7 linked regions of the Rattus norvegicus genome follow. The protein of the gene in region 5 interacts with the protein of the main gene of each other region in a biochemical or structural test. Links are inferred from orthologs where the notes say so. Each region holds a gene or a part of one and is shown on either strand. Other genes may lie near its edges. The genes, in order: Hsp90aa1, Dyrk1a, Mark4, Camk2a, Mapt, Ppp5c and Csnk1d.

Region 1 (4,273 bases), on a different chromosome or scaffold from region 5:
ACCACCCCTCTGATGAAATCTGTGGAAGAAAAGAACAAGACACCTACCTTAATCATTCCGAAAACTAAGGAATCATTTTTGGCTGGTCGAGAGGACTGAGCCCAGGGCCTCAAACAAGTTATGCAAAACCCCTGCCAATAGTGCTTATTCTTTCTATCCGTACTTACTCAGATACTCGGGGATTAACTCCTCACAGTTATCCATGATAAAAACTCTGCGAACATACAACTTGATGTTGTTCTTTTTCTTTCTGTTTTCAAATAGATCAAAAGGAGCGCGTCTTGGGACAAAAAGAAGAGCCCGGAATTCTAATTGTCCTTCAACAGAAAAATGCTGCAATAAAATGAAATACCTTTAACTGCCATGGACAAAAATGAATCAACTTTTCCACTGAGCTATGTTACACTTAGAAGCACTTCTATAGGTTGAGTGGGTGTAAAGGTTAACGTTAAGTCAACCCGAAAACCTGCTTTAAGTCACTCACCTTTACTGCCAAATGTTCTTCCCAGTCGTTGGTTAAGCTCTTGTAGAACTCTCCGTATTCTTCATTCGTAATGTCATCAGGATTTCTGGTCCAGATCGGCTTTGTTTTGTTGAGTTCTTCTTGATCAATGTACTTTTCCTTTATCTTCTTCTTTTTCTTCTTGTCACCATCCTTCTTCTCTTCTTCTTCTTCATCAGAACCAACATCTTCTATTTCAGGCTTGTCATCAGACTCCTTTTCTTCTTTTTCTTTCTCTTCCTCTTTCTCTTCCTTTTCTTCAGCCTCATCATCACTGACTTCCTTGTCACGTTCCTTCTCCACCTTAAAAAAAAGTCACTTCATTACTGTGTCACAAATTATTTAAGATCTAAGAAATAAATGTCCATAATTAAGAAACTCATCAGTGTTTTCTATAATTTCTCAACAGTCCTCCAGAGCACAGACCCAAACTTGTTTCAAACAGGCTTATTATTTACAGAATGCTAAGACCATGCTCAGTTGTCTCAGTTATCATATCAATTTACCCTGCAGTTGAAAGAAAAACTTACAAAGAGAGTAATGGGGTAGCCAATAAACTGAGAATGTTTCTTCACAATTTCTTTTATTCTCCTTTCCTCCAAATACTCAGTTTGGTCTTCTTTTAGATGCAAGATAACCTTTGTTCCACGACCCATTGGTTCACCTGAAAAAGAAAAGGTTATGGACTATGAATTCAAATGGCTAATATTCAAAGTCTTCTCCCAGTGCTTGTTGGAGCGGAGATAAAAACGTGCAGTGTTTCCTAGCAGCTAACTTTCCACACAAATGCAGTCTCCAGAGCTTTAACTTCCTTGCTACTGAGCAAATAGCCATACGTTTTCCACATTTCCTCCAACCACCCAGTCCTTGAAGCTCCCTTGAGATTAACAATTTTGTTGGAGGGCTTAGGACTAAGACTATCCCAGACTGCTCCAAACTCTTCAATTCTCCCAGTTAACCCTCTTAAACACTTGACCTAAAATAACCAGACACCCACTGCACTCTGAATGCACTCCTGGCCTCTGCCTACCTGTGTCTGTCCTCACAGTGAAGGATCCTCCAGCTGAGGACTCCCAGGCGTACTGCTCGTCATCATTATGCTTGGTGATGACAGTCACTTTCTCAGCAACCAAATACGCAGAGTAAAAACCAACACCAAACTGGCCAATCATAGAGATATCTGCACCAGCCTGCAAAGCCTCCATGAAGGCTTTGGTGCCTGACTTGGCAATAGTGCCAAGGTTATTGATCAAGTCAGCCTTGGTCATTCCAATGCCAGTATCCACAATAGTGAGGGTTCGGTCTTGCTTGTTGGGAATGAGATTAATGTGCAGCTCCTTCCCCGAGTCCAGTTTACTAGGGTCGGTCAAGCTCTCGTATCTGATCTTATCCAGAGCCTATTAAGAGAAGACAAACGTCACGCACACAGACAAGCCTCAAGGTGAAATTTTTACTGAAACCAACATCCATTCAATTCTTCAAGTGATATACTCACGTCTGAGGAGTTGGAAATGAGCTCCCTCAGAAAGATCTCTTTGTTCGAGTAGAAAGTGTTGATGATCAAGGACATTAACTGGGCAATTTCTGCCTGAAAGGCAAAGGTTTCGACCTCCTCTTCCTCCATTGGTTGGTCTTGGGTCTGGGTTTCCTCAGGCATCTGGGAACACGGGACGGTGTTAAAGCCTCACAGAATGTCTGCAGGCGTCCTAATGCCTACCTACCCCTTTCCTATAGAAATTCCTTAGGAACTCTATTTCGGTCTGAGACGGGGACGGAATAGAAGAGGCCGAGGGGGGGGGTGGATGACAAAGGGATGACCTCATTTCAGAATGCGGTAATTACGAGGCGCATGTGCGCGCCTCCGGGAGGACGTTCGGACCCAAGCGGCTCCACGCACGCCGTTCCTAACGGCCACCCTCCCCCCACAAGCCGCCGCTATGGCGCCTCCCTCCTCCGCCCGCGCCTCAGGAGCACCGGCGAGAGCCGGGGAGGCCTAGGCAAAGGCCAGAGCCGAACGTTCGCCTCGCCCCCGACCCTCCGCCGCCGCTCCTCCTCGGCGGCCATCACCGCATCCTGGGCCTGGGGCGTAGCGGCCGCCTGGGGCCTAGGGTCTGAAGGCATGGCCGCCCACCTCTGCGGGCTGAGGGAGCTCGGATGGCGGCCCCGACCCCGCCGCCGCGTCTACATCCGTCAACCTCTCTCCCCAATCCCCCACTAAGCCCCTCTGCGAGGACACTCACCTTGGCAGAATGAGCACGCACGAAACGTGACTAACCGCACCGGGACACTGAAGCAACTGGCGCGCCGCCCCCCGCGCCTGCCTTATATAGAGGCGGGCCCGCCCAGCGCGCGGCGCTTTTTCCAGAAGCCTCCCGAACCTTCCGGAAGAACCCTCCCCAACCGTCGCCTCGGCCGCGCGCCTGCGCCTGCGCACTGGACGGGCCCCGCCCCTCCACCAGGAGCGCGCAGAACCCGCGCGGAGAACGAACGCGAGCCCCTCCTCCACAGCCAGGTGCTCTGGACATGCGCAGTCCGGGATTCTCGGCGGGCCTGGCGCCTTCCCGGGCCGCGCGCGCGCCGCCTCTCGTGGAGCGCGGACAAGGTGACCAGCGCATGCGCTAGAGGCCGCCATGTGAGCACTCTAGGGCTCCTCTTCTCGGGGGGTGGGGGTGGGGTCTGCGAAAGGGATGTTCCCATGTGAGGCTGCGTTGCTGTGTGAACCTCAGTGCCCTCTGCGGCGCGTTAGGTGTCTGAGGCGAGAAGATCCCCCTGTCTTCGGGCTCCCATTGGGGACGTAGACTCCCGGCGGGACGCGAGTCTGACTCCTGGCTTCCACCTGATGGGTGGGGCGTATCCCGAGCCCGGGTTCTGCTTGTTGCGCGGTCTGGCGCGTGGTACCACTGTCTGAATTTTAGGGCTGTCCCCTCTGGAGCCTGTCCTGAAGCCTTACTGTGGGTAGTACACGGTGGATCTTCCAAATCTGTCCATAGTGCTTGGGGGTTTCTCTTTGACCAAAACCCATGACCCTCAAACTTGGGCGTTGTTAGGGTTTTAGTGTCAAATTTGTGCTACCTTAACTTATTGTAATTACGGGGGCCCAGAAAGATGGCTTCATCCAGTAGAGGTGCTTGGGTTTGATATCTGCCACCCAGATAGCGGGGGTTGGGAGTGGGGAGCTAACCCTCAGCGCCTGTGACACTCATGTGCACACACACACACACACACTCGCACACACACTCGCACAATGTGAAAATAAGTGTAAAGGGCTAAAGAGTCAGCTAGGAGCAGTTAGTGATACCAAACTCGCACGTTAAGGCAGCTCACAAGCACCAGTAACTACAGTCAGAAAATACAGTCCCCTCTGGCCTCTGCGGCACCAGGAGCACACATGGTGCACAGACACACGCAGTCAAAACGCTCATACACAACACACTACCCTGGTTTTTGAGGCACCTTCTTAGGGTGTCATGACGTTACTTTGGGCGATTAACGTGACCCAAAAGATAGTTTCCTTGTTTAATACAGGCTTTAATAGACTTCCGTTTGGCTTCCATTTCCCTTTCCTTTATGTTACTCCCACCCACTATTTCCGCATCTTTTCCTGCTGACGAAAACGATCACTCATTAAGATTCGAAAGAAAAGGGCTGGAGAGATGGCTCAGTGGTTAAAGCATAGACTGGACCCAGGTTCAATTCCCAATGACCACGTGGCAGCTCAAAACGGTAATTCTAATCTCTGACACCCTCACGCAAACATACATGCACGCAGGC
Region 2 (3,500 bases), on a different chromosome or scaffold from region 5:
TAAATGAGCACGTGATCACTATCTGCCTGACAGGTAGCAACAAAGCTACTTATAGCCAAGTAAATGGACTTGAATGTCCATTTAAATGGACTCTGTCCTTGAATTTTTGCTTTTCTGAGGAGAACCTGGCTGTATAACAGGTGATGTAGGAAGACATCTAATATTCCAGTAGCTTTGTGGTATATTTCAAGTTAATACCGTAGCTTGAAAGTTTTGTGTATCTGCATATGTGCTGTGTAGTACATGCACGTATGTGTGCATATGTACACACCTAAGGTCACATGTAGGGGCATGACACTGTGTGTCTTCCTTATTACTTGGAAATAGGAGTCCCACTGCACCAGAGTCCTGCTGTTGTATCCAGGCTGCCTGGCCAGTGAGTTCTTGGGAGTGGCACCCCCTTCCCCAAGTCCTGGGGTTCATTCAGGCCAGGTTTTTATATGAATGCTGGAGACCCACACACAGGTCCAAGCACTTGCAGAGCAAGGACTCTTACCTGAATGTCCTTTTTACCCTGAGTGACAGTAACGGCAGTCTTAGATACTAACTTGAGCAGAATTAGCTTTAAACTCACAAGTTATTCCGTGTCCTGATGTTAAAGGTGGATCCTCGGGAACGAGCAACAGTGGGAGAGCCAGGTCGGATCCGACGCACCAGCATCGGCACAGTGGCGGGCACTTCGCTGCTGCTGTCCAGGCCATGGACTGTGAGACACATAGTCCCCAGGTGAGCGTCCCAGGCTCCTGCCACGACCCCACTAGCTTTGGCTGTATGAGCTGCCATGGGCTGTCAGGGTGACTATGTGTGTGTCCTTCGTTCTAAAGGCATGGAGTGTCCTTACTGCTTAGCAAATAAAACTCCGCTCCTTGTTAGGAGTGAGAGCACACATTGGGTAAACACGCTCTCCACTGTCCTCCCAGGTGTCCTCCACTGTCCCTCCACTGTCCCTCCACTGTCCCTCCACTGTCCTCCCAGGTGTCCTCCACTGTCCCTCCACTGTCCCTCCACTGTCCTCCACTGCCCTCCACTGCCCTCCACTGCCCTCCACTGTCCTCCACTGTCCCCCCAGGTGTCCCCAGGTTTATCTTCTCACTTGCCACAGCGGCTTCTGGATGTCAGCAGTTTGCTCCCTGCCTCTCAGTAGGTACTGAGACCTCTAGGTGCACCGTGAGTTTACTCTGTGAGCTGTGCAGTCTGGACCCTGTCGTTAGCCTCTCGGGGCTTCTAGCATTCCTCATCCTGCTTCTGAATCAGTTTGTGATGCACTTTTTTTTTTCTTCTTTTTCTTTTTTCTTTTTTTCGGAGCTGGGGACCGAACCCAGGGCCTTGTGCTTGCTAGGCAAGCGCTCTACCACTGAGCTAAATCCCCAGCCCCTGTGATGCATTTTTAACCTTGGAAGTATTTGCTTTGCTTTTTAAACTTACTGACGTTAATAAGTGTAATAATAAAGTAATGTTAAGGTTTGTGTGGAGCATGTAGGAGGGTAGAACTGTAGAGATGCCATCTTAGCTATGTCTCATTGCCATGGTAAAGACGCAGGTAGAAACAGTGTCAGGATGACAGGGTGGACTCTGGCTCTCAGTTCAAAAGGAAATCATACATTATGTCAGGGAAGACGTGACAGCAGGCAGGGGAAGCAGGGTGGCAGGGTCAGGAAGCCTCTGCAAGCAAGAAAGAGGAAATGGGGCTGCGCTATAGAGCCTCGAGGCCTACCCCATAGAGCCTGGAGCCCTACCCCATTAGAGCTTCAAGACCTGCCCCATAGGCCAGCCTCCTCCAGTAGAGGCTTCACCCCTGTCACTTGCTGCCAGCTGGGGACCAAGCATTCAAACACAGGAAGGAGGTGTTTACTGTTCAGACAAGAACACAGAACCTTAATGAGATAACGCCCCTCTGCACTCTGTGCTACATTTTGATTCTTTGTTCGAGAGGACAGTCGGTTATTTGTAGAGTAAGGAAAATCTGTGCTAGATTGGTGGTCATTCCTTTGTTGTGATTGGGCTGATTGGTTCTTGTGGATAAACTATCATACTGTTCTGTCCTCAGTCTTCTTATTCACCAGAGGCAACATTGCTCAGAGAATCCCTTCTTCCTGTTGTCTGTGAAATGCTTCCAACTTCTCCACACTCTTCCTGACTCTCCCGCTGTGGTACTCATCATACAGGCATTCTGTGGTGGTGGCGATGCCTGTGCACCTGCTTTCTCACAGCCTGCCTGTCTCTGCTGTCGCTGGGCTTCTTGTTGAAGGCCAGGCCCATGTCCCCTCCTTCCTTCATGAGCTCTGGCTCCTTGTGTTTCTAGTATACAGCCAATTTCCCTCTAGTTCTTGTCTCCCTCACCTCCCTGCAGTTTCTTGAGTTTCCCCCTGGTCTTCAGCAGCCCTCAGCTCAGTGCTCTCATGCTTGCCCTCATTGTCATCTGGCCGTGTTTGCAAGTGTTGACTCAGTCACGTGCATTGAATTGCTCTACTTTTTCTGGTAGTTCGTGTCTTTGGTTCTCCATTTCTTTGTTCCCCCCTCCCTTAGCTGTCTCTTTTTGAGGGTGTTCCTGTCTTCTATGCTTTGAGATGACCTTGCATACTTCCTTCTTGGTCTCACCCCTTATTGTCAGTCATCGCAGTCACCATTTTTAAAGCATTGCTTCCTGCTTACCCCTGACTGCACTTAACTCCTGAGACCCCTGGGTTGCGCTGGGCTTTCTGTAAATATCATTCTACAAGTCTTAGCAGTAAGAAGACTCTTCTACTATTAGCGGTTGTTTTATAACAATGGCTCTAACCTCACTCATTTGCTGTCATAAATTTAGGGCCAGGGAGTTAGTCTTCGGGTTAGTGAAGCGTGACTTCTGATTTTATGCATATATAGTCAGCCTTCCCACTATGAGAGCTATGTGTGCCCTGTCTTTCTATGAAGGAGACCGGCTGCTCTTTCCTGTGTCCTGTCTAAGTGCTCGTCAGCCTGAGGCACCTCTGCAGACATGTGAACTTTGCTACTCCAGTCCGTCTGTTTCCCTGCTTTATGTAGCCCTTGTTTCCCTTGTACCTGGAACTAACATGTAGATTCCTGTGATAGCAATGCCTTTGTGCTCTGTCCCCTAACTAGGCCTTTCTTTATCCTCTGCACTCAAGTGCTCAGATCTTTTACTCTGAGGGATGTGCCATGCTGGGTCTCCCTCCCCAGCTTTCCTAATTCTTCCTGCGTTGGCTTAGTGGCACAGCTCATACTTAGTAAAGTGTTTTGGGCCTTCCTTTGTTCCTCTCGTTCATGTGTGTATGGTCTATGTACTGTAAACATACATAGTCATTCCCAGAATAGCACAGCTATATGTTCCCACCTACCTTACAGAGGTCACTGATCTGTTGGGCAAGCCCAGCTGGCATTTCTGCTTGTGATCATTGTCCTCCTGCCTTCAAGAAGCTGGAGTTACAGGCGTGCTGCACTGTGCCCAGCACAGTCTTTTCTTTTTGAGTTAAATTGTTTTTAGTTGTTTATTTATGTTG
Region 3 (3,500 bases), on a different chromosome or scaffold from region 5:
GGCGTGCGCAAAGCCTTGGATCTGGCCTGTCCTACGCCGGGGAGGTGCGGAGTACCTGTAACGCCGCACTGGACGGTGAATGCAGGAGGAGCAGAAGTTTAAGGCCAACCGGGGCTATGTGAGACCCTGTCTAGTATAAAAGGGTACGGGCTGGAGCTGGTCAGCGGGTAAGAGCACTGGCTGCTCTTACAGACAGCTCAGGTTTAATTCCTAGCACCCACATGGCTGCCATCTCTCTCTCTCAAGTCCAGTCCCAGAACATCCGATGCCCACTTCTGACCTTCAGGCACCAGGTACACATGATCCCAGCCATACGTGTGGGCAAAACACCCATGCACGTAAAAAATATCGTAAAAATATGAAGGGAGAAAATGGGGAGCTTGAGGCGGCTCCACCTGGTCCAGGCATGGCCCCCCACCAAGCTTCTCTGCTCTAACTGGGACGGATGCTAACTGTTCCTGGGTCTCATCAACCTTTACCCAGAGTTTAATCCACAGATGACATTCAATGATAAGGAAATTGTTCAGTAGTTACTAAATAAAAACTAATAAGGATGCTTCATCAAGCAGCTGCCCTCTGGCTGGCCTGTGTCCAGCAGTGGCCTAAATTACTAGCAACTGCATTCTGGGTAGATCCTAGTCCAGAAATGAGGCACAGAGAAGTTAATTAGCTTGTCTAAAGTTACACAGCCAGCGAGTGAAAGAGCAAGGATTCTAGAATCCTTGTCTGTAAGCATTGGAAGATGTGATCTTCACGTTCTAGACAGGGAACAAGGCGAAGCTGCAGAGAAGGCCATGGCTTCAAAATGATGGAGGTTCTGATTTTTGTGACAGAATCCAAGAACAGGTTCCATTGAACTTGCCCATGCAGACCCCTGCTCAGGGTCTGAGACCTCTGTGCCAGCTGCCAATCTCCCAGCAATCTCTGAAGTTAAGCCTAGAAATGGTACAAAGTGCAGGGGGCAACATATTGGATGGTGGCTGGCCACCTGATTTCTTGCAGCAATGCATTCTGGGAAATGTAGTTTCCAGCTGCAAGGCTATGTGTATGACTTCTACTAGCCCTAAGGGTTTGGATACCAGGAGAGAAAGCACAGGTGGATTTAAGGGAGGCCTAGTGGCCTCTGAGATCTGGGAAGGTATATATTGGAGGTCTGTGTTATAGCACGTCACTCTGAAAGTAATCCATCTTGGAAGCTAAACGGTCTGGTTTGGTTAGAACTTGGATGGGAGAATCTGGAGACTGAGCCAGTAAACAATTCGAGGTTCCAAGGATCCATAATGCTCTGACAGCCCTCCGGCCCCACCCTGACTTGTCTTTCTCTGCCCACAGCTCTGGTACCTCGCGGGTGCCCCCTGCCTCACCCTCCAGTCACAGCCTGGCTCCCCCATCGGGAGAGCGGAGCCGCCTGGCTCGGGGCTCCACCATCCGCAGCACCTTCCATGGGGGCCAGGTCCGAGACCGGCGGGCAGGGGGCGGGAGTGGCGGGGGTGTGCAGAATGGACCCCCGGCCTCACCCACGCTGGCCCATGAGGCCGCACCCCTGCCCTCCGGGCGGCCCCGCCCCACCACCAACCTCTTCACCAAGCTGACCTCCAAACTGACCCGAAGGTGAGCTGCACCGGATGTGGGGTATGGGGTGGTGGACGGGCAGGGCCTAACCTTCTTCTCTGCTTCTCCTCCTGCACCTGACCTCTTGGTCCTCTGCACCCCCTGTCACCACTCCCACCTCCTTACCCTGCAGGGTTACCCTCGATCCCTCTAAACGGCAGAACTCTAACCGCTGTGTCTCGGGCGCCTCTCTGCCCCAGGGATCCAAAATCAGTAAGTCCTATCTCCTCTGTTCTCCATGCTCCGCCTGTCCTCTGCATGTCTGACTGTGAACACGCATGTGTGCTACATGTATGTGTCCTTGGAAGGGACCCTGTGGGAACAGCGTCCATGTAGGGGCTGTGGAGTGTCAAAAAGCATATCCCGTTACAGACGGGTGCAGCAGGTTTCAGCTCTACTAAGTGAGGCTGAGCAAACCATTGAGCGTCTCTGGTTCTTCTCTGCACCTCGAAACCAGGGACCACAGAAACTATCTACATGTGACCGTGGCAGCTCAGGTCACTGCTGTGGGGAATTCTTTTGAGTGTGTTCCTTAGACATCTACTTGTCATCTGGTATGACTGTTACACATTGATAGCCTCAGTGTGCCTAGCATGGCTAGCAAAATGTAAAATATGTCTACCCTCACATAGCCAACCTTCTAATCGAGGACGTAGGCCACAAGTCAGTGGAGTACTAACGGGAAAAGTCCTGCAGTCTCAGGCTGAGGCAGGAGGCTCTCAAGGTCATGGCTAGGCAGGAAGGATATGGAAAGAATTTTTCAAAAAGAGTAAAGCAGACAGAGTGTCTGAGGAAGGGAAGGGCGTGGCTCAGCTGTAAATCCCAGGCCTAGGATCTCCCAGAGAGGGGCTGGGGCGTGGCTCAGCAGTTGAAGACCCCTCCGTCACTGGATGCGTCTGCCTATGTGGGAGTGTTGGTGCCTTTTCTGTGTAGGTGTGTCTGCCTGCCCCTTTTCTCATCTTCCAATCCTTCAGTATCTCTCCTCCAACCTGCACTAACCATTTCTGTCTGGACCGCACTCTGGATGGAAGGGATCAAATCCGGACTACAGCTCTGTTGGGAGAGCGGAGCTGCAGCGGGGGCTGCCTAGAGTCATGGCAGTGGGGAGGGGGAGGGGGTTGCTAAGGCCCAGATTTACATTTTGTTCCTTCCCCACTCTGCTAGGGTCACAGACGAACCTGAGAGAATCGGGGGACCTGAGGTCACAAGGTGAGTGAGGGTCTCACCCTGCCTGCCTCTGCACACCCTGTCTGGTGCTCTAAACATAACATGGTGGAATATTCTAGAACCTTTTCACCTGTACTGAGACTCATTTCTGCTACATTGCGCACCTTCCCATAGCTGTCAGTGATTTGAGCCCTGTCCTGCCCACTGCCCAGCGTTCCTCCCATGCCTGTAGCACTTCTTATTCATTGACTCGAGGTGTGGGCGAACCTAGCCACGGGGACCCGCCCGCGTGTAAATGCTCTTCAAAGTCACTCCTACTAGGTTCTGCCAAAAGAAGCAGTAGCCTCTGTAGAAGCAAATAGGTGTCACTGCGTTGTAGTGAAAACTTATCCAAGCTGGCTCTGGCGGGATGCACAGGTCTGCCAGTCCTGTGTGGAGATCTGAGGCTGAAGGAAAGCAGGTTCAAAGCCTGCCAAGGCTAAAAGAGCTCAAGGCCAGCCTTAGGCAAATTAGTAAAATAATCCTATCTCAGATTTGGGATGAGGGGGAAGAGGGCTGTGATGTACAGAGCCCCTGCCTAGAATCCCCCAGCGAGGGAGGGGCTGGGGGCGTGGCTCAGTGGTAGAGCCCCTGCCTAGAATCCCCCAGTGAGGGAGGGGCTGGGGGCGTGGCTCAGTTGTGGAGCCCCTGCCTAGAATCCCCCAGTGAGGGGCTGGGGGTGT
Region 4 (4,046 bases), on a different chromosome or scaffold from region 5:
AGATTACTAGTCTTAAATTCCATGCCTTGGGGGCGTGATTTGTGGCTGCCAGTGTGGTTGATGTACACAAGTGAACTCATTAGGGAAGAGGACCAGTGAGTTTGGGAAAGAAGACTCCAGGGCAGGGTATATCCATGCCACTGGCCCAGCCCTGGGGGTGGGGGAGGGGGTTGAGTCCGGCCATGCTCACCTCATTATAGTTGCCTCTCCCCAGTCCTACCTTGATGGGAAGTACAAGCAAAAACTGGGACATGAGCCCCAGGAGACCAAGTCTTCATGGTCCCTCTGGGAGGATGGGTGGGGAGAGCTTGTGCAAGAGGCCTCAGGAGGGGCCCTTCCTGCACGGTGCTGGCAGGTAGGGGTGAGAAAGCAGACAGAGCCGTTCCTTCAGAGTTCTGGGTTTGCTCTGTACTTTTCCTCAAGCTAAGGTGACAGTGTGATACACACAGTGGCTAAAAAGCAGAGAGAGAGAGAGAGAGAGAGAGAGAGAGAGAGAGAGAGAGAGAGCAGGAGAGAAATAGGGACAGAGGCTGAGGCCAAGTCAACCAGACCAATTCCCAGAGGGAGCAGAGAAACCATTACAGAGACTACAAGGGGGAAGGGAAGGAGAAAGATGAATTAGCCATCCTTCCCCCTGTAAACCTTAGAACCCAGCTGTTGCCAGGGCAACGGGGCAATACCTGTCTCTCCAGAGGAGATGAAGTTGCCAGGGTAACTACATCCTGTCTTTCTCAAGGACCATCCCAGAATGTGGCACCCACTAGCTGTTACCATAGCAACTGCCTCTTTGCCCCACTTAATCCCATCCCGTCTGTTAAAAGGGCCCTATAGTTGGAGGTGGGGGAGGTAGGAAGAGAAGATCACTTGTGGACTAAGTTTGTTCACATCCCCTTCTCCAACCCCCTCAGTACATCACCCTGGGAGAACAAGGTCCACTTGCTTCTGGGCCCACACAGTCCTGCAGTATTGTGTATATAAGGCCAGGGCAACGGAGGAGCAGGTTTTGAAGTGAAAGGCAGGCAGGTGTTGGGGAGGCAGTTACCGGGGCAACGGGAACAGGGCGTTTCGGAGGTGGTTGCCATGGGGACCTGGATGCTGACGAAGGCTCGCGAGGCTGTGAGCAGCCACAGTGCCCTGCTCAGAAGCCCCAAGCTCGTCAATCAAGCTGGTTCTCCATTTGCACTCAGGAGCACGGGCAGGCGAGTGGCCCCTAGTTCTGGGAGCAGAGTATCAGCATCCCAGTCCTAGTCCCGAGCCTAAAGCCTCGCCTGCCTGCCCAGTGCCAGGATGGCTACCATCACCTGCACCCGATTCACGGAAGAGTACCAGCTCTTCGAGGAACTGGGAAAGTGAGTCACACCTCGGGCAGTCCTAGAGGGCATGGGGATCAGCCTCTTGGGCAGGGGGGCGTGTGCCTATGTGACTAAAGCTCTCCCGTGCATGCAGACGGAGGCGTGCAGCATGATTTGGAAGCACTGTGTATGCATAGGCTGTCCAGAGTTAGGCGTTGACACATTTATGTGCCCAGTCAGCCTGGTTGTGTGTGTGTGTGTGTGTGTGTGTGTGTGTGTGTGTGTGTGTTGGAAAGGAAGCAGATTGATATTGATGGTATTTGCACACACCTATGCATACAAGTACACACGACCTGGGTTCACAAAGATTTTCAGAAACTTGGGGTTTGAAAGGGATTTTCCCACTTGGCTGGGTCTGAGCTGGAATCTTTTCTGTAGTTGTACTTAGAAACCTCCAGTGACGGAGAGACTTCACCCCCGCCCCCTCCCCCCTTCCATTCCCCCTACTTGGAGATCCTGACTTTAGACTCTATGCAGGGCAGCTAGCTTTTCTCTGACACATTCCTTTCTGCTTTCCCAGCTTCCTTCCAGGAGCGAGAGCTTCAGTGCTGAAGGAGTTAACGTAAAGCAATCGAGGTGTTGGGAGGAGGGGAAGGACAGTCAGCCAGCTGGGGGTGCCACTGTGGCTGTGTGCACAAAAACTGTGGTCCTTTGGCAAAGTTGCCTTTGGTGTTATACCTCTATACCTTGGGAGGCTGCGAGGAGAGAGGTTCCCTCCAGCAGAGCAGCAGGCAACAGACATAAGAGGTTTCTAGATGTTCCCAGCTGGGTTGTGGGGGTCCTGGGATGGATCAGGAGTTGGGGAGCAGTTTGGCAGAGTGCCCCACAGATGCATAAGTGATCCTACCAGCCCTGTTTGGTTCCTGCTGTAGCAGCAGGAACATGAGACAAGGGGCTCTGTGAGCAGATGCGCCAGTGTGAGGTCCTGCAGGTACAGTTATGTTGAGGAGAGGCTATATATGAAATCTGTGGGGAGCAGATGGAGTTGTATAAGAGCTGACACTGGGCACACTGCGAACTAAAAGGGCAAACACTGGTGCAAGTAAAACATGAAGAGGTGTGTGTGTGTGTATGTGTGTGTGTATGTGTGTGTGTGTGATATTTGTATGGCAAGCCCAAAAATGTCAGTGTGCACTGCAAGGTTGCATGCATGCAATTATGCAAGGGTTGCTCTTGGCTAGGTGGTGTTGCAGCAAAGGTTTGAACATGCATCTGTGTGCACATGTGTGGCAGGTCAGAGATGGGTACTCTCAGTGAACATCGTGTGTGTGTGTGTGTGTGTGTGTGTGTGTGTGTGTATGTGTGTGTGTAAGGTCACAGATGTGAAATGTGAACAGAATGTTCTTGAGGGTGCATGTGACTTGAGGAATATGTAAAGAAAGCTCTCTCTCTCTCTCTCTCTCTCTCTCTCTGTGTGTGTGTGTGTGTGTGTGTGTGGCCTAGGCTCATGTGGGTGTGTGGGTGTTGTAGGCATGTGTGAGCTTATGCTGTTGCCTGCATATGTGTGGGAGGTGGACCTATGGCTGTGTATAAGCATAGCCCCTGAACACATTCACACACAGAGAGAGAGAGAGAGACAGAGAGACAGAGAGACAGAGAGACAGAAAGAGAGAGACAGAGACAGAGAGAGAGACAGACAGAGAGACAGAGAGAGACAGAGTCAGAGATAGAGATAGAGAGATAGAGAGAGACAGAGACCAACATCAAGACCAAGACTGAGACGAGACCAAGACCTACACATATCCTAGCTCCCTTGTGCAAATGTGTATTCATATTTGCCTACAGACTTCCAGCTATTCTGCACGTCTTTGCGTTGGAGGCAGGGGTGGGGGCAGGAATACAGTCTTTAGGTCTGCTCAGGAGGACTGTCTCTTAAAGTTTATTGGGAGACCCCTTTCCAGAGCATGTCTGGTATTCACTTGGAACCTAAGAATTTCTTGAATAGACAGGAGCTGCCTTTCAGGGGCCACCGAGGCTGGCTCAGCCAGGAGTGCGTCATAGAACATAAGGGAAGGAGTTAAGATGGGACTTCAGGGATCACAGTGACAGAGAACTGCTCCTTTGCCCTGAGGAGAAATGGGGATCATTAGGATTGGGCTCTGTGGGCTGACTTGGCCTTCTCAGCTCCTCTGCCTTCCTGGATACTCAGAGGTGTCAGAGAAGGGGCAGAGGAAAACCGAGGGTGGCAGACACCAGGTCTTGTCCAATCAACTTCAGACCTCCTCCTTCCAGAACTATTGGTGCTTTTAACCTCTTTTTAGGTCACTTATTCCTCCAGGATTCAGAGGAAAGTCTAAATAGACATTCCCCAGGAAAACGTATAAACCTATAAAATGCTGCTTGCGGTGTCAGAGCTTGTGGGACCTCAGGAAACGGTGCATGACCCTGTGCTTGAAGAGGCTTGGGTGAAGAGGAAGGGGCTGTAGTGGGCTGGCTTCTGCCTGGGCTGTCTGTGTGACACAGGCCAGGGTACCCTATGAAGGGTGAACCCTGTGTCTTTTGCAGGGAGGGGCTGCCCCACATGACCCTTAGCTCTGTGACATTGGGCAGGCTGCCACTCTTTCTGCCCTGCAAGCCGGAGACTCAGAAGGCTGGTCGAATTATGTAGATGACCTGTGAAGACGTAACCTCAAGCTTGGCACGCAGTAGGCATCTGGCTGGCCGTTGCCGCTGGGGTGGCTGTTGTCCTCAAGG
Region 5 (3,500 bases):
GCCATAGCCAGGAGTCCAAGAGGAAGTAGAAAGCATGAGATGGCAGTCTGAGGCATGACCCAGGGTTCTGTGCATGTTGGACAACCTCTCTGCCAGCTGGGCCACAGGCTCAGTTAGCATTACGACTTTGCTCGAGCTCTCTGGTAACTAGTGGGAAAGAGCTGCCTTCAGTCTCCTGCCTTGTTCTTGGTACACAACGTGAGGATGAGAATCTATTCCAGATAGTCCGTAGAGAACCCTCTAGGACAACCCTCCTAATGCTGCGTCCCTTTAATACAGTGCCTCATGCCATGGTGATTCCCCAGCCACAAAATTATGTTGGGCTGGAAAGATGACTCAGTGATTAAGAGCCCTGATTGTTCTTGCCAAGGCCCTGAGTTCAATTCCCAGCAACCTCATGGTGGCTCACGACCATCTGTAATGGGATCTGATGCCCTCTTCTGGTGTGTGTGAAGACAGTGCAGTATACTCACATATATAAAATAAAAATAAATAAATAAATAAATAAATAAATAAATAAAAATAAAATCTTAAAAAATAAATAAAATCATGTCATTGCTACTTCATAACTGTAATCTTGCTACTGTTATGTAAATTTACTGTGATGTAAATATCTGACATGCAGGATATGACATTCTATCTCCAAGGGACAGATTGAGAACCACTGCTCTGGGACCAGTCTCATCCACTGTGTTAACCCTCACATCCCCATATGACCTCCCATTTGCCCCCCCCTTACCTTCTTATTCCCTCCTCCAGGGACATGGGTGATGTTATCCAAGGAGCCAATCTTCGACTGGACTCTATCCTTGAAGTCCAGCTTCTCTGATTTTACTTCTACCTGGCCACCTCCTGGAATACAACGCACATGAGTCTCTCGTCATCTTCTGTGGTCTGGGGGACTTAGCACATGCTAAACGAGCTTGCAGCCTCCAGAGCTTGGGGGCTTGGGGGCTGCTGGAGACTCGATTAGATAGATAGATAGATAGATAGATAGATAGATAGATAGATAGATAGATAGATAGATAGATAGATAGATAGATCGGTCATGTGTCACCATTCAGGAGACACGTCCATTCTGACTCCAACACAGGCTGGGCCAGTGATCCAAGGAACAGCCCATTCTCTGAGAGTTGCCTGGGCTCTACCTCATCTAGAAAAGAGACTTAGCCACAGGAAGCTCTTGTTAGTGCTTGCAAACTACCTGCCTCTTCTCTAAGGAGAGGGTGCACAGAGGATATTTACCCTGCAAAATCTTCCTCCTGAGATGGTTCAGGGGTAGATGAAGCTTGGCCAGGAGAAGGCGCGCTAAATTTTAAAACCAGACGCCTTCCAGCTGTGGAGATTTTCTTAGGAATTTTGTACAGGATTGTAAGCCACAGCCCCTCAAGTCCTTGAGATTGAACTGTCTGTTAAATGTACAATAAGGAGAGAGAGCCTAACCTCCCCTTTGGCTCAGGTCACCACACCAGAGGGTAGCAGGAGGAAGGGACCTTTGCTGTTTTCCTGGGAAGGGTACTTTCTTCGAACAACCTTACAGTGAGGATAAGACAACAGCCCAGAAGCTCTCATGTTATAGCTGGTGCAGTCAAAGTGTCCCCCGTGCTGGGATATTGACAGAGCCAGCCTTTGGAGGACGCCAACCAGACCCAGGGCTGGCCCTTTTTTTTTTTTTTTTTCTTTTTTTCGGGAGCTGGGAACCGAACCCAGGGCCTTAGGCTTGCTAGGCAAGCGCTCTACCACTGAGCTAAATCCCCAACCCCCAGGGCTGGCCCTTTTATACAGGCATTTCAGGAGAGCAACAGGATGGATCTAAAACCAGTTCCTCCTCTCCTTCTACCCCTTGTCTAGGCTGAGAAGCAGGGGCAAACCCAGGCCCCAGGCCACACAGCAGTTTCCCATTTAACATTCACTGCCCAGGTTGGCCTACTCTAGGAAGCACCCACCAGCCCAGCCAGCACCCTTCTGCCCCAAAGCCTCCCTCCCTCAAGTGCTACCTGGCTTGTGATGGATGTTCCCTAAGGAACCACACTTGGAGGTCACCTTGCTCAGGTCCACTGGCTTGTAGACTATTTGCACCTGCAGGTCAAGGAGGATGGGGAAGAGACAGAGAACAAAGGAAGTTGTGTTACCAGGGGTAACAGTGCAAAGCCGAATGGACCACTTGTCAGTGGCTCCCATCAGCTCCTGAATACATCCCACTCGGGATGGAAACTATGCTCCCCAAATCCAGCCAACCTCCATCCCCCAGGGAGCTGGGTCCTCACCAAGTAGCTGTGAGACCTAAACATCTTCAATCCCAGATACACAAGACACTGTCACGGAAAAGCAGAGGTGCCTGGTCCTTGTATGTGACCACGGTATCTATGTAGCGGATACTTAAATATAAAAACATAAATCCTTTTATTGATGAAATTGATGACACCCAGTGGAGGAGGAAGTGATGGGCCTAGGCAGCCCTGCACCTTCTCCTCAGAAGAGACTCAGAGGAGAAGCCGGTGAGGATGTGTGTGCTTCATCCATGAAGCTCCCATGGTCTAGGTCAGCAGACAGGACCTAGAACGACTCTATGACTCAGGGTAAGAGCCAGTTCGTGTCTGGACATACAGACTCCTGAGCACTTCAGCCTCTACTGAGGAGAGCAAAGCGACACCAACGGAAGGCAGGCACATAGCAGGAACCACAGCTTCAGTGAGTGTCTCAGCAAGCATAAGTGAGCAGACAGGACACACAGGGAGCCCTGCCAGCTCAAGGGTCCTTCATGTGACCCAGCAACAATGCCTGCCCTGGGAAATGGTGGCTGCTTCCCTGACAGGACACCCTGAAGGAGACCACCCAGGCAGATGGGGCTCCTAAAAGCCAGTCTCTCAGATCTGTGGTTTTACAGCTTAGACAGCTAGTCATGAGCGGCCACTTGCTGAGTCCTGTGGGTCTCCCATACAGACCATGGTCATTCCAGGGGTGAGGAGTCTCATCTCCTGTCCCGAGAGAGGGGTGGCCTCATGTTCAAGAATCAATAAAGCAAGGTGGTTGCTACAGAGGTCTCAAAGGATAACTCCTTCTTGTTTTCATAGCTAGCTGTGCTGATGGTGTTCTGTGGGGTGTGTGTGTGTGTGTGTGTGTGTGTGTGTGTGTGTGTGTGCGTGCGCACACGCTTTCTGCTCATGAACCTGACAGAAGAGGAGGGCCGTGGCCTCACAAATCAGTGAGCTAGGGTGTCAGCCTTCCCCTGCAGAGGGTGGGCAAGGAGCAGATAATCCCAAGGACCTTCAGCAAACAGATCCAGAGGCCAGCAGGAGCTCTGGGGCAGGTAATGAAGGAGGAGCCAAGGGCCTCCAAAAAGGTACAGGAATGCTACAGGGACCTACCCCTTTCCCCTCTGGCCCTACCCCTTCCCCTCTGGCCCAGGTAAAGTCATTAGAGAGTCGTACCAGGGGTTGTGTTGGGGAATAGGAGATGGGGAATAGGTAGCCTGGAATGGTCAAAGGAGAAAGGAATGT
Region 6 (3,500 bases), on a different chromosome or scaffold from region 5:
CTATGTTCTTCCCTGGTGGGGCCCACATGGGGTAGCATAGAGGATACATAGGGGTTGGTCTCTGAGGGTAAACCGTTGAGCTCAAATATGTTGAGGAGGTCATAAAACTGGCCATGGGTGTCCCCACACACTGTAATCTTCTCTGTCTGAAAGAAAAGAGGCCACCGGAGAGGGAGGGGCCCAGAGAGAGATGTGGGGAGGGGGCAGAGGGGAATGAGGGGTGAGAGGTCACAACAGACCAAGAAAATCCATGCAAGACACAAAGGTAAGGGACACAGCAACGAGGAAGGCAGACAAGTAGGAGGGGTGTCAGGTACAGAGAGTAGGGAAGGATGCACAGGTGGGTTTCTGAGTCTGGAGCTGGGGGACCTCCCGACTGCTTGCCCTGCCTTGATCACCCCTCCACCCTGCACCCATAGTCCAAGGCGCACCTCTTTCAGCGTTGTCTCCACCAGCGTGCTCAGCTTGCAGAGGACTTCCTTCACCTGCACTAGGATCTGGAAGACGGGGCAGGCTGTAAGCATGGCTGCCCGGGGGCAGGAGTACAACAAAGCCTCAGCTGTCCAGGAGCTACTGAGAAGGCCTGGACTACTGGGTGCTACCCAGGGACAGGAAGAGAGGTAGCCATCAAGCCGTGATCTGATCTGGCCTAAGTGTCATTTAAATACCATGATCGGGGGCTTAAGACATGGCTCAGCAGCATTGGCTGCTCTTTCAGAAGACCAGGGTTTGATTTTCAGCACCCACATGGTACCTTACAACCTTCTACATCTTCAGTCCCAAAGGACCCAGTACCCCTTTCTGGCCTCACGGGTACTGCATACATTCAGTGTACACATATACACACAGGCAAACAATCTAAACACCACCATCACTTCACAAGGGTTTTGGTTCATCTTTTAAAATTCGCCAGCATTAGGAAACAAAATCATGAGTTCACAGTACAGGAAACCTTATAGAAGGAACCAGCCTAGAGCCAAGGAGATGGCTTAGTGGGTAAGAGCACTTGCTTGGCAAGGAGCCGAGTTAAAATCCCCAGCACTTTTGTGAGGGGCCTGCAGTTCCAGCATTGAGGGCGCAGAAAGAAGGCAGCTCCTCAGAGCTTGTGGGCCAGCCAGCAGAGATGAAGTGCTGAGCTTCCAGTGGAGTAAGATCCTGTCGTCTGCCCTCCTGTGGCATCTGCAGGTGCATCCAGGAGTGGATGCACACACATATAAAGAGTTAACCTGCACACATGTAAAGGCCATGGTCATAAAGGTGGGTTTTTCTAACGGCAGAGAAGGGTGGAGAACCTTCAGTCCTGCGGTGGGTATTGGCATTCTGAGAATCTGCTAAAGTGAGTGTGTTCGGACACACCTGTAATTCTGGCAGCTTACAGCCAGTCTAGACTGTTTTGTTCTTTTGGTTTTTCAGACAGGGTCTCACAATGTATCTCTGGCTGGTCTAGACTTCCCTATGGAGATGAGAATGGCCTTGAACTCAGAGTTGCATCTGTCTCTCCTTCCCAAAGGCTAGGATCAAAGGTGTGTGCACACCACCATGCCCTGCACAGCCTGGGATGTATAGCAAGACCTTGTCTCAAGAACCCCCTCAATCACCTTAAACATATTTTGGGGGACTTCAGGAGAAATGAAAATACCAGGACATCTGTTGGTACAACTTGCTCACACTGAACATAACCTTGAGAAAAGTCAAGTGTGTTTATCTGTGTTTTAGGTTTTATGGAAAGCCTTTGGGTTCATAAAGCCATTTGATTCTTGATTGTTCCTGGAAAAGCAAGGAATGGAGTCCCCACACCTGTGAAAACTATGTGGCTAGATTTTTGTTTTTGTTTTTTTAAGATTTTTTTATTTTATGTTCATGAGTACACTGTTGCTGTCTTCAGATACACCAGAAGAGGGCATCGGATCCCATTACAGATGGTTGTGAGCCACCATGTGGTTGCTGGGATTTGAACTCAGGACCTTTGGAAGAGCAGTCAGTGCTCTTAACCACTGAGCCATCTCTCCAGCCCAAGTATGTGGGCTGTTAACTGCTCACCTTCCAACATCCTTGTAGGTTTAATCATTAAGAAAAATAAAACTTGGGGAGAAGATAAGTGTCATAAACCCAGGGGCAGCTATTCTGGTCAGGCAAGGACACCGCAAAGGATGGAAATAAGCCAAACAGCCAACATCACACTCACAAAGAAAACCAACAAATCCACCCAGGAGCCCCAGTACAAAAATCCTGAAAGACTCACACCACCGACCTCCATGGGGTAGTGTGGCTTGGGCTGCTCAGGTTGGTGGCAGGAAAAATGGCTCCTGTTAGGGCTAAGCACCAGGGGAAGGCAGTGACCACTGGCAGGCTGTGACCTCATTACAGGAGAGGCAACACATGTGGCTAGCTCTGTCACAGAAATGACTTCTCTTATCTGAGACCTGTCCTGACCATGCACGTCCTCTTACTCCTGTCCCCAACTTAAGCCAGCCAAGCCCTTCAAGAATTCCTCTCTCCCATGCCTTCCCAAGATCTCACTTCTGAGGCTGGTCGGTCTTCTAAACTCAGCCCGACACCCCCAAGTGCTGTGTTATTAGATGAGGACAGTGTAGCCCTCAGCATGTGCCCAGCACACTGCCCTGTCCTAGGACGGCTGGCAGTGGCAGGTGCATTCCCGAGTCCTAGGCGTGTGTGGCACAGGAGGGTGTGTTACCTGGTAGGCGCACTTCCGGTGCAGTTTCTTCTGATCCTTGTACCACTGCATGAGGTCTTTCATGAAGGTGATTGTCACTTTGCCATCCTCAAGCTTGGGCCCACTGTATTCATCTTCAATGGCTGGTGTATGACAAGGAGATTAGTTAGGGGCTTCAGCCGTGGAGGGGCAGGAAGGGGACCTGGCCCCCAGGGATGGGGTAAGAGATTGGGCAATCAAGTTTCCCATGTACTGTGGTGCTCCTGATCTTAGCATCAGCCCACAACTCTGCAATCCCTGGACTCTGGCCAGTTCTAAGCAGTGGCTTCCTGCTTTGGCAACTGTCCTTTGGGGAGATGTTTCCCCTCCCTTTGCCCCACATTCTAAACTCAATTAGCAGAGGCTAAGGGGTGACTGCTAAATAATCTGTTCAGATTCAGAGCCAGAGCACCTGTTAACCTTTGGGTGACATTGGAATGTGAGCCACTCTTCTTCCCTAGTTCTGTGCATCGGCACACACAGCACGGGGAGCATTAGGCTACACTGCAGTCACAAGCCCATCCAAAGAACGGTGGGCACCATGGCTCCAGAGGGTCAAGGCCCACTGTGAAGATACTCAGGCCAGAAGAAAGATGACGGCACACACCCTGAATGATGAAGACCCCTTCCTACATGTAGCATCCTCTCCTAGATAAAACCCCTTGTGAACCAAGTTCCCTGAGTGGGTGTGTCCGGGAGGCAGACAGACAGACATGCGCTAGCTCCTGCCACATTCTTAGGAGGCAGGTCTTCAAATACAGCTGGTTCCTCCATCAACTCCTGGCTC
Region 7 (3,500 bases), about 17 Mb from region 5:
CCCTAGTAGATGAATGCATTTTAAGGCTCCAATGTTTAGCAATATACATGTCCGCCCTGAGTATTCAAAGATTTATGAGAATATCTATATTATGAGAGCTAAACTTTTAAAAAATTATTTATGTGTGTGGATGTTTTCCCTACACATCTCTGTGTACCATGTGTCCAAGAAATCCAGAAGATGATGTTGGTTCCCCTGGAACTAGAGATTCAATGTAAAAACTTACTTATGGGTGTTAGGAAATAAATCCAAGTTCTCTGGAAGAACAGATAGAGCTCCTTTTTTTATTTTTTTCTTTTTTTTCTTTCCTTTTTTTTTTTTTTTTTTTTCGGAGCTGGGGACCGAACCCAGGGCCTTGCGCTTGCTAGGCAAGCGCTCTACCACTGAGCTAAATCCCCAACCCCACAGCTAGAGCTCTTAACCACTGAGTGATCTCTCCAGTCCCATGAAAGTCAACTCTTACTTCTTTCTTTCCTTTGAGACAAGATCTCACTATGTAGACCAGGCTGGCCTTAAGTTCACAGAAAGCCACCCTGCCCTCTTCCCAAATTTTGGGGTTACCATGCCATGTCTAAAGGTAACATCATGTCCTATGTCCCTGTCCTACCTACTCTTCAGAATGAAGTAGGGACACAACCCTCAACTGATTAACCCAGAATCTTTTTGAGGCCACATACTGGTGTGGTTAGCAATTCATCAACACATTAAACAGAGGTCCTAGTTTGGTGAAGAACACTAAGAGATGTGCTTACCCGTATGTGAGGTAGGGGTAAGGGGCGTTGGGGGAGCCACTTCCTGGGTTCCCCGCAGACGGCCGGAAGCTGTAGAAGGGAGGCCACGAGTGGCTGGATTCCGGGAGTGTCTTAATCGTTCTTCTCGGTCCCGGCGTTCCCGCTCAGCATCATCTGCAGCCCGGCTGGCACCCTAATGAGGAAAGATTAGAATGAACAGGAGGAAAGTCGCCATGATGTTTTGATGTTTTGTTTTGTCTTTTTAGGAGCACTGACTAGGTCCCCAGCTCTGGGAAAAAAAAAAAAAAAAAAAAGAGCACTGACTGATTTTCCAGAGGTCCCGAGTTCAATTTTCAATAACCACCTGGTGGTTCAGAACGTGTACTTGCATGTATAAAAGAAATAAATATTAAAAAAAAAAAAAAAAGGCAGCTCTTGGGACAAGACTGCCCTTTGAAATCACCCACACCAAACAGTGAAACCAGAAAGACCATGCTCCCACAGAAATGATTACCTACACAATACCCACGAAGGCCACAGTCTCTCTGCACCCCTACCATACTGGAACTCACATGTACAACTTGTCATCTTAATCACTTCCTAGCAGTGTTGGCATGCGAGTGCATTGTGGAAGGAAAAGGAGATTGCCTAGGAGGGGGGAGAGCAAGGTAGAATGCAGACACTGTGAAAATGCCAGCCTTTCTATGACAGGCCAATGGCAAGGACAGGAGTCAGGTTATCAGTCTTAGCACTGTCAGAGGGGTCTGCAAGCACTGCCCTGTGCCACCTAACTTATTGGCCTTAGTTGTCTTTTGAAGCCCCACTATGGCGGAAGGTCCAGGCATCTTGCGAGCATCTTACAGCCGAGGGTTGTCACCTTCAGCTTAGGTTCGTCTACATACACACAGTAGCACGAGGCCCAGCAGGCAGTTCTAGTTCACAGTGCCCTCTATGAGCAGGGACATACATAGTGCAGTTGACAAGGTATGCACTCAGACTAGATACATTACCTACAAAGATTATAATTTCTACTTCAAATTACAATAGTAACTGACTGAAACAGAATCTTGCTTTGCAGCCCAAGACTGGCTTCAAGCTAACAACCATGCTTAGCCCAAACAAGAATTTTTTTTAAATTTAGTCTTTGTCTATTTTATTGAGTTTCATTTTGTAGCCCTGGCTGGCTTGAAACTCACTATATAGACGAGGCTGGTATCACGTTTACAGAGATCTGCCTGCCTTTGCCCTCTGAATGCTGAAATTAAAGGTGTGAGCTACCATGGCTAGTCCAAGAATAAATTTAACTAAAATAGACACGAAAGTTTCACAAAGCCTTGAATTTTAGCAGCAGCAATGTCTGAATGATCACAGGATCACATTCTGACAGAACACCAGGCACTTTAACCCAGAGGCTCTTCTGAGGCCTATGCGGTATACACTAGATTTGGGATGGAGTAAGGGTGCTGGAGGACAAAGAGGGGCAGGGCTTAAGACTACTACTATGCTTCCTACTAGCCCAGACCACCATGCCATGCCACCATAGGTAGCCGAATCCACAAAGTTCTTAAAATTCGTTATATAATTAGAATATTGGTGGACAGTATTACTTGCAGCACCTGGAAAGCCAAAGTTCATGAGTAAGAGCACTTGCTGCCCTTGCAGAGGACCTGGGTTTGGTTCCCAGCACCCACAGAGGCTCACAATAGCTTCTAACTCCAGTTTCTGGGAATCTGACCTCTTCTGACCTTGACAACACAAGCATACGCACACACACACCTTAAAAAATAATTTCAGAAGTAGCTTTACTCCCCTAAAAATTAAAGAGAGGGCTGAGGATTTAGCTCAGTGGTAGAGCGCTTACCTAGGAAGCGCAAGGCCCTGGGTTCGGTCCCCAGCTCCGAAAAAAAGAACCAAAAAAAAAAAAAAAAAAAAAAAAAATTAAAGAGAGGATGAAAATAGAGGAAGAACAGCAGGCAAGCCTTTCCCTAAGAAGGACTCACCAATCCAGAAGGAGCTGACTCTGAGCAGACCTTCATCATGGCTTACTGGGCTTCTTCGTATGGACATCCATAAATGTCAGAGATTTTTCTAATTTAGCATGTTTTGGCTGCATTAAGTAAATGTATTACCTGCATACAGTAACCACAGAAGCCAGAAGAGGGTATGAAGGGAAACTGGATCACCTAGTTGTACTGAGAACTGAACCCAGGTCCTTTGCAAAAGCAGCAAGTGGCCTTAACTGCTGTGCCCCAAATGCTATAGCAGTTTTTGCCTTATTCAGCATCTTCCTTCTCAGTACTCCGAACCTCAGGCAAAGTGGTCTGCAGGCCCAGTTTCTACCAAGTGTGTTTGGCTTTTACAATTCTACTGTGCCTTGTAAACATGAGGCTTGCACAGATAGCATAGCTTTACATACAGACCCAGCCCAGCCACCAGTGCCAGCGCCCTGAGGACCAGGCTGATGTCATCCCCTGCTCTAGCAATTCTACTTACAAATTTGAGCATGTTCCAGTCGAACACATAGTCGTAGGAGAAGCCCTGGCGATGGAACAGATTTCTGAAGAGCTGTCTCAGGTAGGAGTAGTCAGGTTTGTCATCAAAACGTAAGGAACGGCAGAAATTCAGGTATGTGGCAAATTCAGCTATAGAAACAAGAAACTCAAAGCTAGCCCGGAACTACCAACTGTTGCCAAATTCATCCAGTTCACCTCCCACAGTGCCATACACTAAAGACATTAAAGGTGAGATATGAAGACTAGTCATATTTAG

What was found.
Region 1: the proteins of Mapt (region 5) and Hsp90aa1 form a complex in vitro, tested with the Homo sapiens proteins (3 studies listed by BioGRID, with this or other methods). The link is inferred for Rattus norvegicus from reciprocal best matches to the Homo sapiens genes MAPT and HSP90AA1.
Region 2: of the proteins of Mapt (region 5) and Dyrk1a, one has a biochemical effect on the other in vitro, tested with the Homo sapiens proteins (2 studies listed by BioGRID). The link is inferred for Rattus norvegicus from reciprocal best matches to the Homo sapiens genes MAPT and DYRK1A.
Region 3: of the proteins of Mapt (region 5) and Mark4, one has a biochemical effect on the other in vitro, tested with the Homo sapiens proteins (2 studies listed by BioGRID). The link is inferred for Rattus norvegicus from reciprocal best matches to the Homo sapiens genes MAPT and MARK4.
Region 4: of the proteins of Mapt (region 5) and Camk2a, one has a biochemical effect on the other in vitro, tested with the Homo sapiens proteins (2 studies listed by BioGRID). The link is inferred for Rattus norvegicus from reciprocal best matches to the Homo sapiens genes MAPT and CAMK2A.
Region 6: of the proteins of Mapt (region 5) and Ppp5c, one has a biochemical effect on the other in vitro, tested with the Homo sapiens proteins (3 studies listed by BioGRID). The link is inferred for Rattus norvegicus from reciprocal best matches to the Homo sapiens genes MAPT and PPP5C.
Region 7: of the proteins of Mapt (region 5) and Csnk1d, one has a biochemical effect on the other in vitro, tested with the Homo sapiens proteins (4 studies listed by BioGRID). The link is inferred for Rattus norvegicus from reciprocal best matches to the Homo sapiens genes MAPT and CSNK1D.

What each region holds. Positions count from the first base shown.
Region 1 is NC_086024.1:135,526,341-135,530,613, forward strand, and holds the start of Hsp90aa1 (heat shock protein HSP 90-alpha), read right to left. Parts: upstream 2,801-4,273; 5' UTR 2,743-2,800; intron 2,160-2,742; coding exon 1,998-2,159; intron 1,900-1,997; coding exon 1,533-1,899; intron 1,167-1,532; coding exon 1,033-1,166; intron 806-1,032; coding exon 485-805; intron 334-484; coding exon 168-333; intron 20-167; coding exon 1-19. UniProt on the Homo sapiens protein: Molecular chaperone that promotes the maturation, structural maintenance and proper regulation of specific target proteins involved for instance in cell cycle control and signal transduction.
Region 2 is NC_086029.1:47,469,302-47,472,801, forward strand, and holds part of Dyrk1a (dual specificity tyrosine-phosphorylation-regulated kinase 1A), read left to right. Parts: intron 1-601; coding exon 602-726; intron 727-3,500. UniProt on the Homo sapiens protein: Dual-specificity kinase which possesses both serine/threonine and tyrosine kinase activities. Exhibits a substrate preference for proline at position P+1 and arginine at position P-3.
Region 3 is NC_086019.1:88,205,554-88,209,053, reverse strand, and holds part of Mark4 (MAP/microtubule affinity-regulating kinase 4), read left to right. Parts: intron 1-1,332; coding exon 1,333-1,611; intron 1,612-1,744; coding exon of another isoform or gene 1,745-1,824; intron 1,825-2,775; coding exon 2,776-2,820; intron 2,821-3,500. UniProt on the Homo sapiens protein: Serine/threonine-protein kinase. Phosphorylates the microtubule-associated protein MAPT/TAU. Also phosphorylates the microtubule-associated proteins MAP2 and MAP4.
Region 4 is NC_086036.1:56,647,934-56,651,979, forward strand, and holds the start of Camk2a (calcium/calmodulin-dependent protein kinase type II subunit alpha), read left to right. Parts: upstream 1-1,246; 5' UTR 1,247-1,287; coding exon 1,288-1,349; intron 1,350-4,046. UniProt on the Homo sapiens protein: Calcium/calmodulin-dependent protein kinase that functions autonomously after Ca(2+)/calmodulin-binding and autophosphorylation, and is involved in various processes, such as synaptic plasticity, neurotransmitter release and long-term potentiation.
Region 5 is NC_086028.1:89,725,625-89,729,124, reverse strand, and holds part of Mapt (microtubule-associated protein tau), read right to left. Parts: intron 2,080-3,500; coding exon 1,998-2,079; intron 853-1,997; coding exon 740-852; intron 1-739. UniProt on the Homo sapiens protein: Promotes microtubule assembly and stability, and might be involved in the establishment and maintenance of neuronal polarity.
Region 6 is NC_086019.1:86,822,006-86,825,505, forward strand, and holds part of Ppp5c (serine/threonine-protein phosphatase 5), read right to left. Parts: intron 2,818-3,500; coding exon 2,696-2,817; intron 498-2,695; coding exon 432-497; intron 147-431; coding exon 48-146; intron 1-47. UniProt on the Homo sapiens protein: Serine/threonine-protein phosphatase that dephosphorylates a myriad of proteins involved in different signaling pathways including the kinases CSNK1E, ASK1/MAP3K5, PRKDC and RAF1, the nuclear receptors NR3C1, PPARG, ESR1 and ESR2, SMAD proteins and TAU/MAPT.
Region 7 is NC_086028.1:106,730,689-106,734,188, forward strand, and holds part of Csnk1d (casein kinase I isoform delta), read right to left. Parts: exon of another isoform or gene 3,374-3,500; coding exon 3,225-3,373; exon of another isoform or gene 925-3,224; coding exon 753-924; exon of another isoform or gene 1-752. UniProt on the Homo sapiens protein: Essential serine/threonine-protein kinase that regulates diverse cellular growth and survival processes including Wnt signaling, DNA repair and circadian rhythms. It can phosphorylate a large number of proteins.